3 linked regions of the Arabidopsis thaliana genome follow. The main gene of each other region encodes a partner of the protein of the gene in region 3 in a complex. Each region holds a gene or a part of one and is shown on either strand. Other genes may lie near its edges.

What was found.
Region 1: SKIP (region 3) and AT4G14300 share a complex: the UniProt entries of both Arabidopsis thaliana proteins name them as parts of the spliceosome.
Region 2: SKIP (region 3) and RS41 share a complex: the UniProt entries of both Arabidopsis thaliana proteins name them as parts of the spliceosome.

Annotation. Positions count from the first base shown.
Region 1 is NC_003075.7:8,229,244-8,232,995, reverse strand, and holds the start of AT4G14300 (RNA-binding (RRM/RBD/RNP motifs) family protein), read right to left. Parts: upstream 1,995-3,752; 5' UTR 1,818-1,994; coding exon 1,596-1,817; intron 1,225-1,595; coding exon 211-1,224; 3' UTR 1-210. Other genes in the region: AT4G14290 (alpha/beta-Hydrolases superfamily protein), read left to right, coding at 2,939-2,976, 3,288-3,369, 3,583-3,686. UniProt on the Arabidopsis thaliana protein: Involved with pre-mRNA processing. Forms complexes (ribonucleosomes) with at least 20 other different hnRNP and heterogeneous nuclear RNA in the nucleus.
Region 2 is NC_003076.8:21,128,284-21,132,035, forward strand, and holds the start of RS41 (RNA-binding (RRM/RBD/RNP motifs) family protein), read left to right. Parts: upstream 1-2,036; 5' UTR 2,037-2,150; intron 2,151-2,761; coding exon of another isoform or gene 2,762-2,797; coding exon 2,798-2,903; coding exon of another isoform or gene 2,904-2,991; exon of another isoform or gene 2,992-3,054; coding exon of another isoform or gene 3,055-3,166; exon of another isoform or gene 3,167-3,210; coding exon of another isoform or gene 3,211-3,417; exon of another isoform or gene 3,418-3,507; coding exon of another isoform or gene 3,508-3,532; exon of another isoform or gene 3,533-3,597; coding exon of another isoform or gene 3,598-3,604; exon of another isoform or gene 3,605-3,752. Other genes in the region: AT5G52030 (TraB family protein), read left to right, coding at 8-429, 526-644, 733-821, 898-972, 1,065-1,172, 1,267-1,368, 1,458-1,751; AT5G52045 (uncharacterized protein), read right to left, coding at 2,762-2,991, 3,055-3,166, 3,211-3,417. UniProt on the Arabidopsis thaliana protein: Required for constitutive and alternative pre-mRNA splicing. Involved in primary miRNA processing and pri-miRNA biogenesis. Binds both intronless and intron-containing pri-miRNAs.
Region 3 is NC_003070.9:29,000,400-29,004,151, forward strand, and holds the start of SKIP (chromatin protein family), read right to left. Parts: upstream 1,737-3,752; 5' UTR 1,565-1,736; intron 1,442-1,564; exon of another isoform or gene 1,266-1,441; 5' UTR 1,234-1,265; coding exon 1-1,233. UniProt on the Arabidopsis thaliana protein: Splicing factor involved in post-transcriptional regulation of circadian clock and flowering time genes. Associates with the pre-mRNA of PRR7, PRR9, ELF3 and GI, and is necessary for the regulation of their alternative splicing and mRNA maturation.

The sequences.
Region 1 (3,752 bases), on a different chromosome or scaffold from region 3:
CTGTAGTTATAATAACTCTGCCAAAACTCAAAAGTACACTCAACCGAAAAATAACTTAATAGAAGTGACTTATTGTAATAGATAGCACATGCTTATAAAGAGATTCAAGCAGTCCAACCCGTTAGGAAGTTGTGGAACCTTTGATTTGAGCTAAATTCTTCTTGACAAGGATCCAGAAACCAGGGCGGTCATAATCCCCTTACACAGTCACTACTGGCCTTGTCGACCCTGACCATCATTGTACCCACCACCATAACCTTGTGACGGGTCAGATCGCCAAGATCCATCACCATAACCACCTCCCATGTAGCCACCACTACCAGGGTTGTTTGAACCGCCACCACTAGGACGCCCTCCAACCACACCATATGCAGCTTGATTTCCATAACCAGAATCACTTCCACTGTACCCTCCATAACCGTAGCCTTGGTTACTATAGCCAGATGGTGACTGCGTAGGAGGAGCTGCACCAGGAACTCCATATCCACTATGAGCAGCACCACTCCCATAGCCTGGGTTCCCATAACCACTAGAAGCTGGAGTGTCCCATGAGTTTCTCGGAGCAACTCCAGTACTACTTCCATAGCCAGCACCTGGAATGTTCGTTGCTCCATATCCAGCAGTAGCACCAGCGCCATAACCTCCAGCAGAACCAGTGTAACCTCCATAGGCACCATACCCGGCACCATTACTACCATTTCCATAGCCAGCGCCATAACCAGAAGAACCATAAGATGGTAAACCATTTCCAACACTTTGATGCTGCAAAAACCTATTGGAATCCATACGTCCATCATAACTGCTTTCATTGCCACCATAACCCTGGTAACCACCAGAGCCACCACCACCCATTGATCGTCCACCACCTCCAGGATTGGCATCTTTAGGAAGAGCACGCTTTACTTCAACTTGTTTACCGCTCAAATCATGGAAAGTCTTGTGCAAAACACTGTCTACCGCATCTTCAGAGTCGAAGGAAACAAATCCAAACCCACGAGGACGGTTGGTAGCCTGGTCATACATGATTGCAACATCAGTCACAGGGCCATAAACTTCAAAGTACTGGCGAAACTCTTCATCAGTCAAAGTAGGTGGCAAGCCTCCAACAAAGATCTTCTTGGTTTTATTGTAAGCATCACCTCCAGAACTTCTAGATGTATTAAGATTCCCAGTTCTTCCAGAGACTTGCTGCTCCTCTCTTGACATGGCTCTCTTCACATCAACCTAAACATTAACCAAAATCAATAAAGCTCATAATAAACTTCCAAGAATCATACTTTACCCAAATCGAGAACATAACGCAACAGAAAATATATACATCTGTTTTTCCTTATCCTAATAAACCAAACCAAGCTCTCTTTTCTAATACTATACTCAATCACTTCATAGAGTGTACGATTAACATATATCGAGTACCCTATAATACCTCTTATACAAGTTAAAACCAATCCTAGAATCTAAGAAACACTAAGGCGAATTTGCCAACCAAACAAAATTCTATATTTACTCTCGTTCTCAATCAACACAGCAAAACGCAAAAAGGATAAAACTTTAACACAATTAGAGAAATGGAGCTATAAGAGAACAATAATAACCTCTCTGGTATCAATGCTGTGTTTCTCTTGAAGAACCCTATCGAGAACAGAAGGATCCGAGAAGATAACGAACCCAAAACCCCTAGGTCGACCTGTGAGCTTGTCTCTCATCACAATAGCCTGAGAAACCTCTCCATAGTTGGTGAAATGTTCTCTCAGCTTATCTTCATCAGTTTCCCATGAAATACCACCGACAAAAAGCTTTCCTTGATCCGAATCCATGAATTTATATTCCACTATCTTACTTCTGACCCAGAATCACAAATCCACCTCAATCTACGAAACCGTGAAAACCGACTGCAGAAACTTCCAGAAATTACGAAAAGGCTTTAGCTTTTCCAATGGCTGTAGCCGATTTGAGAGGAGGAAGAGGAAGAAGACAGCGAACGAATATTTCTATTGGTTTGGTATTGATATTCGCGAAGGTACGAATCTGTCAGCAGATAAATAAATCAACGGTCTAGATCCTTTCTAATATTATTAACGGTTCAGATCTGTTTCCCGTTTTCTTGTAACAGAGATGCTTACTTATGGGCTTAAGTCCAGCCCAATAGAAGTATAAATAATGGGCTACAAAGACCGACGATGGTTTCACTCGTGTGTTTTCTATTCCACACGTGCCAGCAAATCCTACAAGAACGACAAAAAAATCTTTCGTGCTGTGACAATCTCTGTGCCAGATGTGCACTTTGTTGTCGAAAATTCCAAACTCCACATTACAGCTTTATTAGTACTTGTAATAATTAACCTCATATGTTTAAGTTTAATTAATCTCTTAATTACCTCGTATATATTTTAAAATAATTAAAACAATAGCCTATAAACGACAATTAACGTGCACGATCTCCACTAAAAAACCTTAATTGAATTTTTGAGTTTTTTTTCGAAATTTTTTAAGAGACTTTGGTCAATGTCAGCTTTCACTGAAAAAACTTTGGAATTAGTAATAATGATTAATGATTATACATGACAATACCAATTAATTAATTTCCATAATGAAATGTGAAGACGTTAAATGTAAAAAGCGGCAAAAATGTGGGGCTAATTTATAAAGTTTGTTTATATATTTTTAAATATAAAAACAGTTTCAGGCTTCAACAACGAAAAAGCCGTTTTTCTATTACTTTGCTTTATTTTCTTCTCTTTCTCTGTGTTTTTCTTTCTTCGATCTCACTGTCTTTCTTCTGGAACAGCTCGATCTTTTGATTTAGGGTTTTTTTAGTTACATTTCTTGTTCTATCTGAATCTCTTTCGTTGGTTAGGTTTTATTCGATTTTTGACTATTTGTGAGAAATATGGAAGAATGAGAAGAAGAAGAAGGTGATTTGTTTGATTTTTTTCTAATGGAGCAGCTTGTTAACTTCGTCATTCGACCTCCAAGGTGATGATTCTCTCAGAAAATTGAAAAAAATTACTTACTGATTCTGGAATTTAGTTTTCAGTTTCATCTTTCTATTTCTCTTTACTAGGTTGTAGAATTGGGTTTCACACAAAGTTTAGATTTTTAGATTTGAGTTTTGAAATTTTGGTTCTTGTTCTTGAGTTGATTTTGGATTTTTATATAGATGAAGTAATATATACTAGGATTTAGGGTTGCATTTCCTCAAGAAAACCCTGTTCCTCTTTCAAATCCAATTTGTTTTAATTAGTTTGTTTCATCTACGGTTGAATATAACTGGTGTTTTGATGTAGAGCTGAATACAATCCAGAACATGATCTCTTGGAACAAGAGTTCTTGCTTAAAGGGAGATGGTACCAGAGGAAAGATTTAGAGGTAAAGCTTTTTTTCTTCTGTTGTTGTTGTGAACTCCTGACTAGAGAATCCAAGCAAACATGTTGTGATTCAATGTCAATGTAGATTTCATCAGTTGTTCACTGTTGATCAGCGTGAGTTCCTTATTTTCCAGCCTTGGACTGCCTTTAGGATCTCAAGGTTTTAGTTGTGCTTTGTTCACCTAAGACTATAGAAGAACTTATATTGTGACAGGTTAAAAACATCAGAGGAGATATCCTTCAGTGTAGTCATTACATGCCAGTTGAGCGTCCTGAAGATAGGCCTCTACCTTGTGTAATATACTGCCATGGCAACAGGTAATCGTAACTTTTATTTTAATAAAACGTGATTTGAGCTGTACTGGTGAAATAAGCTAGTTAACT
Region 2 (3,752 bases), on a different chromosome or scaffold from region 3:
CCTTGCGATGAAACTCCTTCCGAATCCATCACTAACCTTGTTCCCTTTCTTCACTCCCTATACTTCAAAGCATATTTTCAGACCCATCAAAGTCTCCGTCTCCGTTCAAACTCCTCCGCCGGATTTCGATTTCCGCAACGACATCGCGTCGGAATCACGCGCCGCAATCGCGAAAACTTACCCGGAGTTGCTTGACCTCGCTGATAACGGGACTCTGATTCTTCTCCAGAAACAGAGTTTCGGTCCTGTTCCAGCTTGGCGCAAAGAGTTCGTTGAGCCGGAAGCGATTTGGCTTGTGGGCACTTCTCATATCTCGCCGGAATCTGCTTCCATCGTTGAACGCGTCGTCCGTACTGTGAAGCCTGATAATGTCGCCGTTGAACTCTGTCGTAGCAGGAAAGTCCAATTCTTTATCCAAACGAAATTCGGGTTTCGTGAAATTTGATGACTTTATTGCCAACTGATGAAATTGAATTAGCCATTGTGTTGTGTAACAAATTGCAGAGCTTGGTGTTGATGTTGCAGAGCTGGGATTATGTACACTTCAAGTGTTGGAGGAGAGGTTGACCAAAACTTAAAATCCGGAGAGTTGTCGTTGACCGGGACTGGCTTTCTCGGTGCTGTTGGCCGGAGTTTAGACTTGGGTATATAAACTAATCAAAGCTTTTTATTTACCATTGCTCGCTTTTGTACTTCAACGTTGATGAATGTGTGTGTTTGGGATGATCATAGGAGGGCAAACTGCGTTGGCATTGCGACTTCTATTGGCGGTTTTCTCTTCTAAGTTATCTTCTGTTGCTGACCGCCCTTTCGGGGATGAGGTACTTTTGAGAAAACCTCAAGAGTTAGTGTTTGTTTTTGGACATTCAGTCTCTTCTTGATTGCTATTTGTTGCAGTTTCGTGCTGCTCGGAAAGCATCTGAGGAAGTTGGTGCGCAGCTGGTTCTTGGAGATCGACCCATCGAAATAACTGTAATGACTATACCAAGTACCAACTGATCGTTTTTGTAGTTACATATGGGTTTAAAACCAATGGAATCTACATTGAACTTATAACATTGTAGCTCCAAAGGGCTTGGAACTCTTTGAAATGGGGAGAGAAGTTTAATCTGGTGATGGCTGTGACTCGGGTAATCACATCGTCATCGGGTATATCCGCAGCGGAGCTTAAGGTTTTGTTTCTCTTTCGCTAACTCGGTTTCGCTTTAATTCAAGAAGATGATAAGATAAGTTGTAACTTTTCGGTTTGTGTTTGCATTGCAACAGGAACAAGAGACCGATGAAAACAGTGGAAGTTTGCAGCTTTACGAACGGCTAAGTTTCTCATACCCGGCACTCCTAATGCCTCTTATACACGAAAGAGATACCGTAAGCATAAAAACCGAAACAAAGCGACACTCAAAAAAACCGTATGCTGATAAGACTTGACCAAATAATGTGTTTTTTTGCCTTGACAGTATCTTGCTTGGTCATTGAAGAGAAGTAAGGCAGTGAATGGGTGTAAAACAGTGGTGGGAGTGATCGGGAAAGGACACATGAATGGTGTCATCTACGCGTTGGTGTCAGACTCTGGGGATCTCCGGTTTAGAGATTTGGTGGGAAGAGGAGATTCATATAATGGTGGTACTGGTACTACATCGAACGGTTGGATTCAAAAGGTTTTAAAGAGCTTCGTAAGAGACACAATTATAGGGTTCTTGCTATGGGAGTTATATGAACAGTATCTGATGATGAATCAAAACCTTTCATGATATAACTAAAAAAACAAGTTGTTGCATATTTAAAAAGGAAACTGGAAAAAGAATCTAAATGAGTACAATATGTATGTATATGATTCTTCTTCCTCTAGATTTTGTTGAGGCAACTACAAAGTCTTATATGAAATTGATGTATATTTTGCAGAAATTTCAATTGTAAACATAAAATGTTTAGGTAAAAAATTATTTGTACTTCTCTAGTTGGTAACGAAATAAAAATAAAATATTTTTTTTTTTAATATATATATATATATATATATAAATATAAATATATGTTTAAGATTCATTATCTGGAGAGAGAGCCTCGAAGAAAGCAAATAAAATCTAGAGAAGCTTGTTTCTAGGGTTTCGACTCTCGACGGCCGGTACGATTTTTCAACTGCTTGTTCTAAGGTATAATCAAAATCGAGTTCTTCAGATATTGAATTCGATTCTCTCTTTGGTCTCTCTCTTCTCTTGTTCTTCAGATTTAAATTCGATAGCTTTTTCATTTTCTTCCGTTGAATTTTTCTTGTTTCATTAGGTCTGTTGAAATTGTAGTTTCTTCTTGCTTTGTTTTCTCATATGGTTGATTTTTTTTTTCCAGATCTGAGGTTTTTTTCATCATAGCTTGAAAAAATCCATACTTTCTGGGCTTCCTTTGTATAAATATGAAAACTTTAATGAAAATCTGTTGTGGTATGTTATGGGTTGTGACTTGTGATGAATTGAATTTTGAATATAGTTGTAAATTTGAAATCTTGAAGTATGAAATTTGCATTGGTTTGTTAATTTGTGATGAATTGGATTTTGATTATTACAGTTATAAAGTTGAAAACTTGGAAGTGTAGATGATTACATTTTTCTGTGGTTTGGTTCCTGTTATGTTCATTGTTCTATGATCTTAATTATATGTTTTGTTATTGCTTCTCTTCTGGAGTGTGTTTATTTGTATATTTTGGTCAAATCTGTGCTCTGTTTAGTATCTCTTGGATATCTTTTGATACTTAGGTTGTTGAGAGGAGCTATAAATCGTTTCTGTTGTCTATTTTGTAGGAATCATGAAGCCTGTCTTTTGCGGAAACTTTGAGTATGATGCTCGTGAGAGTGATCTTGAGCGGCTTTTCAGAAAGTACGGCAAGGTTGAGAGGGTTGATATGAAAGCTGGTAAGTCTTGGTTCTTGTTTTTCTTTATACTTTCTCTTAGTTTTTCTGTTTGGTTGAATTGAAATGGATAAAGAAGTCTCGTAAACCACTACCAATCCGATGAACAACAAGCGAAATTCAGTCAAATGCATTGTTCTTAAAATCCACTTACGTGCGTTCATTCCATGAGACTCTCTGGAGGACTGTCCTTTCAAAGTGTGCTCTCTAGCCTCTGCATCCCACATTCCGTATTCCCTCGGTTCGCTACCATCTGATTCCAACATCTGCCAAGGAACTTGAAGCACCCCGCATGAAGTTCATAGCATACCTCAGAAGAGAAAAGATCGAGTAATTTTAGGGTAAAACCGCCATACTCAACATTTGATTTTGGCGCAGGATTTGTTTCGATCTTGGGATGCCCATTCTCCCACACAGCCCATTGATGGACAATATGGAAAATCCATTTCCTGCCCAAAAGAGTCAACCTCATCCACGCAATGGCACTACGTTCCCATAACCCCGACTTTAGTTGCATTTCATTCCTCTTGACTTTTCTCCTCTTCGAGATGCACATGCCTCTTTGGTAGACTTATACCAACCTCTCACAGCAGAGGCAGCAAATCAAATGGAGTTTGCGCCACCACGTTTCTGTTCACAATTCCGTCTCATCTCCTCCTCATTTTCAGTTCTTCTTCTTTGACATATTAATTCCATAATGCAAGGTCTGTAAAACTACTTATAGTTTGTAGAGATTTTAGGTTCAAAACTTATTTGTCACAGTAAGTAGTAAAGGCTGTTTTGATACTGCCGTGGAAGGGAGAGTCTTCATATTAGAATTCCTCTTGGAGGAGGTTCTTTTTCTTGGTTTAC
Region 3 (3,752 bases):
TCTTTCCCTGCGACGCTCTTCTCGTATCTTTTCTCTCTGAATCCTTTTTTCCCTCTCCTCCCTCGTCTCTTGAGGCTCTTCCCTTTCTCTTTCCCTTCCTCTATCCTGGTCATAGTTGTCATAATCACCTCTTGGGTCAACACTTTCACTCCTACCCCTGTCAGATGAGACAGGCATACTCATAGCAGCACCGGTTCTTTCGGAGCGAGCTTTTTGGGCAAGAGCCCTCAATTCCTGCTCTTTCCTTTCCTTGTCCTTCATCACCATCTCTTTTTGCACCTTGGAACGCATTGAAACAGCCTCTCTAGCTTTCTGCTCAGCTACATAGAGGGCCTCTGATAACTTGGCAAAGTTATCATTGATCTGAACGTCTTGTAGGCCCCTTCCATCAGCAGCTAGACGTTTGTCAAGAGGGATTGTGTAACCTTTCGGATTCTTCCAATTGGAGATACAAGGAGGGATTTTCCAGTCTTGCTGGTCCTTGACGGTAACAGGCCTGGGCGGTGAATGCATGACCGGAACAGGCGGAGAACCAGAAGCCCTTGGGACTCTCTTGTGCTTGAACTTTGGTGGATCAAGTGGATCTACAGGCATCTCCACCATCCTAATGATCCTCTCTTTAGCACCAGAATTGAAGGCAGAAGATTGCTGGGATGGCTTATATTTAATGTACTGTGAATCTCCCGATTGCCTTGCTATATTACTAGGCTGCGCTGCACTCAGTCTCACATTCACAATCTTCTCAATGGCAGCTTTCGTTTCTTCAGCAGTCTCCTGAATCTCCTTCTGCAATTCCTCCTCTTCATCAACAACAGTACCCAAGTCTCCCTCGTTTTTCAGAAACTTTGGAATAATATCCTTATGCTGAGAATAAACAATCTTCCTCGAGTTCTCATTCTGCCTCACTATAGCGTCAAAGACCACGTTTCCCTGAGCATCGACAGTAACAGGGAGAGTCTTAGCTCCAGGCTTATTGGATTTATTCTTACCCATAAGAAGAGGATACTGAGGAAGATGAATCTCCGGGAAAGCACCACCATCGCCAAAATCCTCTGGATTCTTCGGACGTAAACCTTGACGATTCAGGTAAGCAGGCACCACTTTAAATTTGATACTGGAGGATTTCACCGTCTCGGATTCAGTGACTCGGTTTTTGAACCAAGCATCATTAGAATGATCATAATACGTGGTAGTGGTTGATTTGGGCGCAGGAAGATCATTAAGAGACTTCATAGTCTAAATCAAGGTTTTCAACAAATCGCAACCTGCAAACAAAGAACAATAACGATCAGGACATACCTAATCCGTAATTACAACAACAAGCTTCTGATAATAAAAGTGACAGATCCTCCGAAATTAGGGTTTTCTAGCGATAAACTCGACGCGAGCATTAGATCCCGAATAATTCCGATTAAAATCTGAAAAATCTGGGTTGGATTCACTACAATAGAGCGGAAAACAAGTAGGGTTTAGGAATCGCTGAACATAGAGATCGACAAAAACCTAAAAACAACAGGAGGAAAGCAAAAAGCAGAATTGAATCTGAGAAATCGAAGAAGCTAACCTCTGAGGAAACTAATCGACGGGAAGAGAGATTCTGAGAAAGGTGAAACGATGTGCGAGGCGGCGCAGACCGATGAAGAACAACGAACGGAAGTGAAGCCTTTTTCTGGGGAAAAAAGAAATCGGGCGTGAAGCCTTTTCTAGGGTTGATAGGATTAACAACAAAAAAAAGGAATCAATTGTCTTATACGCAGTGTCTATGTAAGTCGGTTTAAAAATAGACGAAAAAACGAAAAGGATAACGTCGCCTGAGAGATTCGAACTCTCGCGGGCAGAGCCCATGTACTTAGCAGGCACACGCCTTAACCACTCGGCCAAAGCGACTTATTGTTTTTAAATCGAAGAAAGTTATATATATAACTATAGGTGTTGGCTTTTTGATATATACAACAATTCTGAGCATCTCATAATTATTTGCATTGTCCTTAATGAAAATCCGTCTCAAACACATTCCCATAGTTTCGTTTAAAATACTGAATTCAAGGTTAAAAGAAAAAAAAGTATAAGAATTTGGTGTTGGTACATCTCAACTGGTATACTGTTAAACCACCTCGAAAGGGAAGGTGAAAAAGTTCAGAATTCAAGTACCAATAGAGGAAATACTAGTTAGGCTTTGGTTTGTCTATCAAAACTCAAAGCAAGTGTAAGTTTCATATCAACAAACTTTCTTCTCTTTCATTTTTTTATAAAAAAACAATAGATTGATGGCGTTAGTTTGATATTTAATGAACCAATTTATGTTTTTCTAATCAACAACCAATTTGTTTGATATAAGGTAAAGAAACAAAAATGATATGAATGAACTACGTAGGCTATGTAAATAACGACTACGAGAGAGACTTAAATGTATGGTGAGAAATATTATTAAACATATATGTGGCCATGCGGGATAATGGGAAGGTTAATGGTTTTGCTTCTATGGAAACAACGGCATGGTAGTTAGTTTCCAGTTTTGGTGGACAACTTGGCGTGGTTGTGTTCAACGACAAACTATGGTCCTTGACTCCTTGCATTACACAACTCAAAACTCGGAATATACTTGAGTATATCATATGCATACAATTTTCAACTTTTTCTGTTAAATCGATTCATGGATTAGATGAACTATTTTGAGGGCTTTTCAGCATTCGATTAGGTTAAACGGCTGTTGCGATTATTATTTGTTTTCATAGGAGCTTATGCTATGAACAGTAATCATATAATCATTTGTATAAAAGTGTCTATTTCTGATCTAAGCACAGTAATTCATATTTGTTTAACCCCAAAAGCAAAAAATCATACATCCGTATATATATTTGAGAAAGGAAAAAACAAATAAAGACCGTGCTCGTGGGTGGAACCTCCGTTGACCGCGGATCCCAATATAATGGCCTTTTCCTACGGGATAGTTAGATGCATTACTAATTAACGTAACAATTAATTTTGATTCAAATCAATGTACGATGATTATAATAAATGTGTTAATTTAATCAACTTATGAGGCCGGTGTTGATTGATGTTTTCGTTGAGAAGACTCACCCAATACTTAGTTGATTTAACATTTTTTTTTTTTTTTTGTTACAAAGGTATTAATTTCCCCATCTAAGGATTGCGTATGAAAAAATATTTGTTCAAACATAATATAAGTTCGTTTTACAAAGATTAAAAATGAATAAAAAAAAGGTTTTAAATTTCACATCGTTGGATTTGCATATGAGTTAGTGCATGGACATGTTAAATTAAGGGTCAAGCCATTAATTATGTCTGACTAATGCAAACAAAGTCAAACAAGAGGAAATGATAAATAATCCTTAACCTGCAAATTCGTTTTGGTAGAACGATAATCTTTTACTTCTCTGGTACAAATTGTTTTTAATTAGGGAAAGAAAATGAGTTTCTATTTTTCTTCTCAAAAGTGTATTTCCTAAATATTGCATTGTACTTGTATTTCTCATTCACTGTAAACAATAATTTAAATTGAAAAAGTTGGTTATATGAAGCTAACAGTAGAAATTTTGTGAATTAAATACAGAGGGTGATAATAAATACCAAGTTGAAAAGATTCAATATATGTCAACTAACAAACCATCTCAGATAATACTTTTATCTACCGCTACTTTGATATAAATAGTTTAATTCTCAAATGTTCACCTAAAGTATAAAAAATGGTCACCTAAACTATATAAGTTAATTAGCAAAATATAAACAAA